Linked DNA regions of Nothobranchius furzeri. The main gene of each other region encodes a partner of the protein of the gene in region 2 in a complex. Links are inferred from orthologs where the notes say so. Each region holds a gene or a part of one and is shown on either strand. Other genes may lie near its edges.

The links.
Region 1: dhx16 (region 2) and cwc27 share a complex: the UniProt entries of both Homo sapiens proteins name them as parts of the minor spliceosome. The link is inferred for Nothobranchius furzeri from reciprocal best matches to the Homo sapiens genes DHX16 and CWC27.

The regions. Positions count from the first base shown.
Region 1 is NC_091746.1:63,257,024-63,261,214, reverse strand, and holds the start of cwc27 (spliceosome-associated protein CWC27 homolog), read left to right. Parts: upstream 1-1,314; 5' UTR 1,315-1,625; coding exon 1,626-1,667; intron 1,668-2,014; coding exon 2,015-2,111; intron 2,112-4,191. Other genes in the region: ppwd1 (peptidylprolyl isomerase domain and WD repeat-containing protein 1), read right to left, coding at 661-763, 854-986. UniProt on the Homo sapiens protein: As part of the spliceosome, plays a role in pre-mRNA splicing. Probable inactive PPIase with no peptidyl-prolyl cis-trans isomerase activity. As a component of the minor spliceosome, involved in the splicing of U12-type introns in pre-mRNAs.
Region 2 is NC_091745.1:60,403,007-60,407,136, reverse strand, and holds the start of dhx16 (pre-mRNA-splicing factor ATP-dependent RNA helicase DHX16), read right to left. Parts: upstream 2,818-4,130; 5' UTR 2,600-2,817; intron 1,218-2,599; 5' UTR 1,213-1,217; coding exon 1,015-1,212; intron 943-1,014; coding exon 704-942; intron 477-703; coding exon 296-476; intron 205-295; coding exon 148-204; intron 78-147; coding exon 1-77. UniProt on the Homo sapiens protein: Required for pre-mRNA splicing as a component of the spliceosome. Contributes to pre-mRNA splicing after spliceosome formation and prior to the first transesterification reaction.

The sequences.
Region 1 (4,191 bases), on a different chromosome or scaffold from region 2:
TATTTATGGATTTTTTTTCTTCTTTCAAATTTTCAAGTACACTTCAGGTATTTTACTTGTACTATTTTGGATACACTGTCCTCAGGCTACAGCCTTGTTTTATATTGATTGTATTAAAACAAAGAAAACCATCTGAAGTTTTTTTTAATTTACCGGTTCGGCCCACTTGGGACTAGATTTCCCTCAATGTGGCCCCTGAGCTAAAATGAGTTTGACACCCCTGGTTTACACGGTCAGCGATTAGTCTTCATGTCATGCACTGGGTACAGACAGCGGTTAGCTGACTTCCGAGGACTCGCGATAGGGAATGGTGGGTCGCTTAGGGACTATCAACAAATTTGTAGTCCTTTGTAAACGAGTACAAAATTGTTTTTAAACTTCCAGAATAATTTCCTAAATGACTCAAAATTACTTCTGACATGTGTTACTAAACTACATTTACAAGACACAACAGTTTTAACACATTTCACTCAATCTGATCTTTTTTATTAGGATTTTATTTCAAAATTAAGGGACTTATAGCGAGTCCTCGGAAATCAGCACATCGCTGTGCTCAGTGCACGGCATAAAGACTTATCGCTAACAGTGTAAACCAATGTCTGTCAAATATCCAACGTCCAAGTTCAAGCTAACTTTACCGCGGTATTTTTCTCCACTTACTTCGAACACACCAAGTGTGTGATAACGTCTCTATGCATGTAGCTCCGTTCGTACATGGCAGCTGATGGGAGGTTATCCAGGTAGACTCGCTCGTATTCTAGGACTGAAGAAATAACCGAACCAGAATTAGCGGGATTTACTGAAAAGTGGATTCGCGCAAACCATTGTGGTAAATTCAGTGTCATTAACCCACCTCTTCGTTTCTTTGTCTTTGATGCTTCATTTGGCATGGGTCCAACCCAGTCTGTACTTTCATCATTTCCATCTTCATCTTGAACATCATCAGCTTTTCGTTTTAACTCCAAACTGTTTTCAACCTCCGCCATTGCTGCACAGCGTCGTGTGGTCCTTTCGTAATTACGGCACTTCCGCTGCGCTCTGAATTTAATTTTGCTCCGTCAGAAACTTAGCGAAATTTATTAGAGATTGTAAATTTTTAAGTAATATTTTAGAATGCACCCTAAATTATAAAACTGGATTATATTTTCGTATTTTAAGTGTAATAGAAGCTTAATGCGGAACTTGTTATTATGCTTTGTTTCTATGGGCCTATTAACGCTGAACATCGTGTGGATTCAACCATTTTCACTTTTAGGGGCTGAGCCTGCGATTGTTTTTGATGTTATGTTGTCGTTAGCGGTTTAGCTGGTTGTTATGAACGTGAAAAAATATTTTCAAAATGAAAACATATAAACATCTTAAATAATTATCATAAACAGCAGAGTATACTAAATAAAAAAGAGTAGTACATCAGGATTCCCCCGTGTTCTCTGAAGTAAACACTGCACTAGCATGGCTGTTGGAGGATAAGTGTGAAATTTGCAACATTCGGGAAAAGTACAAGCAGTTATCAGGATTACTAACCGTTTATCTATTATACATTTTACGTGAGTTGAAGGTATAAAGGTGTTAAAGATTAGAATTTCGTTTTTTTTTCGAAGCACATAAGCAGATTCACCTTCAAAATGAGTAACATATATATCCAGGAACCTCCAACAAGTGGAAAGGTGAGTGCCTTCCTATCTTTTTATTTTGTCTGTATTTACATTAAGAACATGCAGTGTAGCTTTTCCTTGTAAAGTTTATACACATTTCGTTGAAACCAGCTAGTTGTTGATATGTTACCAGCTAGTTGTTGATATGTTGCTAGTAGGAGGTGAACGCGTGTGCCATAGAAGTAGCGGGATGGTAGGAGAAGTTAGCCTGGCAAGCGAGACAAAATAAATATATTATTTGCTTTGCAAACTTCTGTGCAAAAAAAAAAAAACTTTGCAAAGAAAGATTTTGGTCTAGTTCACTAGGCTAGGGAGAAGTAGTTTTATATGTAGATATGTTTTGCTGTGCTGCTTTTCAGGTGCTGATGAAGACCTCAGCAGGGGAAATTGACATCGAGCTGTGGTCCAAGGAGACTCCTAAAGCATGCAGGAACTTTGTGCAGCTGTGCATGGAAGGTAAGGTAGACCGTGCTGTTAAAAAACGGTCCGTGGAGGAAAAATCTGAAATTCAGAAGTTGTGGATGATGCATTCCAAAAAAATACAAGTATCCATATGTACATATTGATATTTACTGCAGTACAGATATCAGTGAACCTCATGTATGTTAAAGGGGGTATATTATCCATTCATCCATCCATCCATTTTCGGCTGCTTATCCGGGGTCGGGTTGTGGGTGCAGCAGTAGGCCCAGACTTCCCTCTCCCCAGCCACTAAGGCCAGCTTCTCCAGGGGAATCCTAGGGAGTTACCTGGCCAGGTGAATGACATTGTCCCTCCAGCATTTCCTGGGTCTTGCTTTAGGTCTTCTCCCGGTTGGACATGCCCGGAAAACCTCACCAGGGAGGTGTCCAGGAGGCATCTTAACTAGATCCTCCTCAACTGGTTCCTCTTGATGTGCAGGAGCAGCAGGTCTGCTCCGAGCCCCTCCCAGATGATCAAGCTCCTCACCCTATCTCTAAGGAAGAGCCCAGCCACCCTGCAGAGAAAACTCATTTAGGGCGCTTTTATCTCCAATCTCATTCTTTCGGTCACTACCCAAAGCTGAAAAGATAAAAACACTTAGTTTTAGTGTCAGTTCATGACCCAGCTCATCTTTCTCAAACAGGAAGCTACGTTTTTAAAACCTTTGTTTTGGCGTCAGACTCCGGCTGCAGGTCTCCTTTTCTCGTCTTCCAGCTAAACAGCGGAGCTGTCAGCTGGTCATTCATCCTTCTCCTCCTTTATACACAAGAACCCACTAAACTACAGAGAAGTAACAATCTGTCACAGATCGCTGCTATATAACTTTTGCCGTGAATTCTGTTTCAATGCTCCGCAGATCCGCTCCATGTGACAGCTCACACCCGCTGTCACAGAGCTTCCTCTGTCCACAATTTATCTGATGGTCTAAAAAAGGTAGTTTAATTATTTTAGTATAACTCTGGTTTAACTTGTTCTATTAACAGAAATAAAAACTGGTGGGTATTGAAACTGAAGCTCAGAGAGGCGGAGTCTTGCTGCTGCGGCGTCCCAAAAGGTGTGTTTTCATTGGTCGGTTGCAGACAGGAGTCCCAGGTTTTCAAGCATGCTTGAAGACTTTTTTAAGCTGATTTGGTCGTGAGACGGCTCAAAAAGTTGTCGCAGAGCCGGCCACACTGTATTTTTTTTTGTCACGATTCTGCTCAGGACTAGGAATTTGGCAAAGACAGCCGAAAATCATACAGTGTGATCTGGGCGTAAGGGTATAAAGCTGGTCCAGTAGGCACATTTTGTCAGAGTGGGCATGGGCGGAGTTTCACTGTCTCTCAGAGAGACGAGACGCTGGACGCTCTCCTGAGCCGACAACCCGCTCCTGCAGCTGTCGCTTCTGTCACGTTGGGCGAACCATCGGACACGCCACTCGTCACAGATGAAGCTGAACATTCACCTCTCCCTTCAGTAAGACAAGCAGTAAGTGTAGCAACACAGTGTTCTCCAAATATACAATATCTGAAAAAATGATTAAAGTTGTTTTACTGAATATCCTAATCATCTATGAAGCACACGACAGCTCTGGATGCTAAAATTCTCCTAAACAATTCATAATTGAATAAGTTTGACCACGCGACAGCTTACCGTTAACTTCTGCGGACAAAAATATGAGCTCTTAACAACAAACACTCTCCCTTTCGGTTCCCATGGAGACGCATTTGCAGCACACACACCACTGCTTTTGTCCTGCTCTCGCTTCATCCCGCCCTTCTTGCTCTTCATTTTGATGCTCGTTTTGTGAAACATAATCAGTGATGTCATCATTAATGTTTCGCTCTGGTTCAAATAGAAAAGGCTGAACAGACGACATGTCGATGTCGCTTAACAGTCACTACAGGGTCCCAAAGCCGGCCGGTGCAACCGAGGTACAACCGTATGACGTCACCACCCAGAGTGCATTGTGACGCTAACAACAATCGCGAACTACGAGTTAAACTATTTTTTACAAATTTTATAAAAATGAAGACATTAAAAAGGTTTTTTACACCACTTAAATATAACTGATACTAACATTTATCTTTTAAGA
Region 2 (4,130 bases):
GCCTCCAGGTCTTCCAGCTTCTCAGCCTCCCTCTTCTTCAAATATTCCCGACGAGATTGTTTCCTCAACTCTGGCAGCTGCAAGCAGAAAAGTCACACAGTCACCGTGAACTCGGCAGCTGGAGGAGATCGGGACACGAGCACCAACCATGTTCTTCTGACCATCTTCAGCCATCTTCAGACGCTTCTGAGCTTCTTCGTAAGCCTGCAGGAGAAACACAGCAGGAAAATTTTCCACCGGATGAAGATGACAAATAAAACAACGGGTCGGGATGCTGCCATCCTCCTCCTCCCACCTTCTTGTCCGTCCGCTCGGCGATGTTTCGGGTCTTTTCTTTGTCCTTCTCTTTCACCCTCTGAGCAAATGCGTCTCTCTCCTTGATGTCCTCCAGCCGTACCCTCTCCTCCTTCTCCCACTCCTCTTCCTCATCATCTTCTCTTTTAACAGACGTTCGGTCCTCCTGGAAAGAATCGCCCCTGAAATCAGAAACAACAAACCAGGATGAAGGTTCATGTTCCTGAGCTTGGATCCTCATTTAAAACATCGTAGAGATGAAGAATGTTCTGTGGTTCTGGATCAGCTGCTCTTCGACCTTTTTAAATGTTTTCTTTACTCTTTGGCTGATTTTTCTCCCGTTTTCAGTCCAGCCTTGTTGCCTTGACTATCTTTGTTTTTGCTCAGCCTAAATAAACGAATAAATAACCTTTGAAGAGTTTCATCTTCACTCGACGAGTCTTTCTTCTGTCTGATGTTCCTTTTCTGGTTTCCTCTGTCTTTCTCTTTACTTTTCTTCTTTCCTTTCTGTTTTTCCCTTGCAGCCACTTCGTCGCTCTCGCTGTCACTGTCCTCCAACAACGTGTACGTCCGATTCTTCCTCTCCATTTCGATAGCCTGTCGCTCTATTGCCTTGGACGGCTTCTCGACAGCCTGCTGACGGGGAATCTGGAACACAGCAGAGAAAGATCAGCACACGAGCCTCTACACGAGGTTCCGCGAGCACTATTTTATAAAAACCTTTTCATAAAGCTCCTTCGCGAACGCTGTCACAGTCTGATCGATGTCGATGGTCCCCGTCTGCTCCAGGCGACTCACAAAGTCCTCAGAGCTTGACGCTTTCCGAGCAAGGCCGATCATGAACTGAGGGACGTATCGATCGCTCAACCCCAGGATGTCATGCAGCCGGTCGTTCACCCACTGCTCCAAATTTGCCATGGCGCCTGCCGAGGGAGGAGCAGGTGGCTTTAATTCAGGTGAAGTGGTGCAAATGTTTAGAGTGTGAGTAAAAATGACCTAAATAAATCAGACTTTTATTATTTATGACAGAATTTGAACGTAGATCTTATGAACCCTCTCTGCCCTTCATGGCAGCACCTGGTTTAGATCACAATGACCCGCATGCTAAAACATATGAGAGGTGCTGATGTGATTTTAAGATGACCAGAGAGAAAAATAGGAATTCATCACGACCCAAACCATCATCACATCTTTTCTAACATCGATCAAGGGCAAAGGTCAAATCTGTCAAACTACATCAAACCAAGAACAGATTTAAAGAAAGAAGGAAGGACAGAAGATTTAAAACCAAATAAAATCTCAGATTCTGTAAAACTTTAAAAATGACTAAATTTACTTGTAACAAAGCTGATATGAAATTATAATATTTACTAAAATAATCAATATTAATAACGATTCTGAACCTCAGCACCAACACAGTTGATTAGTTAATTCTGATGTTAGCGAATGAAGCAGCTGGCTGCTCTTATGTTATTGTTTATGTGTCTGATCTTATTTTACATTTAACAATAATACATTGCAAAGATTCCAGCTTTGAAATAAGAGTAACGCATAAAAATGTGAGTTTCTGTGTTTTTGTGGTGGCATCAGTATCAAGTCTGAGTCAGTATAAACTTGCTAGACAAGGGCAAAGACACATTTAAATGGGTGATTTTAGCTTTAAAGGTTTGTTTTCTTTTTTATCTTTTCGTGATAAACGTTTACACTGATTCTGCTTTTGGGGTCGATACCCAAGTCTGATTTTTGTTCAGCTCTGACCTGCCCTCACTGTGCGATAAATCTAAAACATTTTAATAATTTATTTTAATAACTTCAGAATTATGATTCTGGAGGCAAAAACGTGCAAGTTTAGGAAATCATAGCTGGAGTGAATTAGTGATGGTGAGTTCATGCACAGGGGAAAATGTCCAGTTGTCCTTTTTTATTATCAGCGCTTCAGCTGAATGTGTTTCTGATCACCACCTATAGCTGATTTCTAAAGAAGATCAGCTTTTAGGATATTTTTGAGAAAGCTTGAATCTCCCAACTTGTATTAAATAATTGTTTAGAAGTTTTTCTTACATCTGGATCAATGAATAAAATCAAAGTTGTACTTGTCCAACCTGAACTCCATTTACGTAAAGCTATTATGAAACGTTTACTTTGTTTTGATTATCCAGTCAATCTTTCCCTAATTTATCCAGTAGTCGAGTTGACCCTTTCATTTGAGCAGCCACTGTGTTATTTTGGTTTCATAAAGACTTTTGTTATGAAAAACTTTATTATAAAAACGGTTTCTCACAAATAAAACACTAGATTCACTTACCGCTTTTTAAAATCGCTCATGCAACGTTATTGGGATGAAAATATCCGCCTGAAAGTAAAAAAACTGAGAGTTACGTCGTCATTTATCTAAGAGTTTTCTGTAAGAGCACTTAACGGAAACAGTCGGCAGCCCATAGCCATGGATATTAATGTATTTACGGCTCTATTTGTCAACAAATTCAACACATTTTTGCGTTTATTAGCTTAGCTTGCAACACGCAATGGGAAAAACGGAAATACGTCACATGGAAACAGCGGAAGAACAGAGTGAAGTAGAGGAGGTCATGGCGCTTACTGCCTTCCGGTGGTCATAGGAAGAACTACAACAAGAACATTAAACCACTTCGTGTCATAAAATCTGTCTCGTACTCATCTTTCATTTATTAAGGATATATTTTAGTGTAAGTTACCATAAGCTAACATTAGTTAATACTGAAAATTGTAAAGTAAAATATTCCAACATCTCCATTTTTATTTTCTGCAGAAATGTAGCATATTCAAGCTGATCAGGGATAATTTGCTCTAGCAAGTGGTTGAAAAATCAGGAAATAAATATTTATTGCTGACTTTTTATGAAGGAATATAAAACTACTTGTGACTTGTAAGAATCAAACAACAGAATAGAGAGTGTAAGAAAATAGAACATAAGATCAGTCTTTATGCAGATGATGTTTTACTCTTTCTCCAGAATTCTCAATCCTCTCTCTCCCATTCAATAGAACTGATAAACTCTTTTTCAAGAGTTTCAGATTACTCTATAAACTGGTTAAAATCCATAGTTCTACCAATTAATTTCTCTTTTGTCAATTTGCTTAATACACAATTGGAGTCAGGGAATATTACATACCGGGGAATTAATTTCTCTCCCAAGCTGGCAGATCTAACCAAACTGAACTACATCCCACTTTTAAAGAAAGTGAAAGATGATCTTGCAAGATGGAAATCCTTACCGATATCACTCATGGGGAGGGTTGCTACAATTAAAAAGATGGTCTTACCCAGAATAAATTACTTATTCTCGATGATCCCAAACAAACCACCAGCTGACTGGTTTAAATCTCTGGACTCCTCAATTACTAAATTCCTTTGGCAGGATAAACCTCCACGAATTAGCTTTAAAACACTTCAGAAGACCAAAGACAGAGGAGGACTGGACTTACCCAACTTTTATTATTATTTCTTAGCCAACAGGCTGCAATATATACCAAGATGGTTGCAAGATAACCCACTAGATGAGTCCTGGTTAGATATAGAACAGATACTTTGCAATACGATAGAACTTTCAGACTTACCATTTATTAGCTCAAGCATAAGAAAACACGAAGGCTTCAAAAGTATTAGTATCAGCACCTCTCTGACAGCATGGTGGGAGTATCTAAAAATGACAGAGTCTTCACTAGTACCATGCAGACGCACACCTATCTGGAATAATCCTGACATTTTGCAAAATAACCAAATGATGAACCTTCCGGACTGGAAAAATAAAGGAATCCTATACCTGGAACACATATATGAAGGATTGGACTTCATCC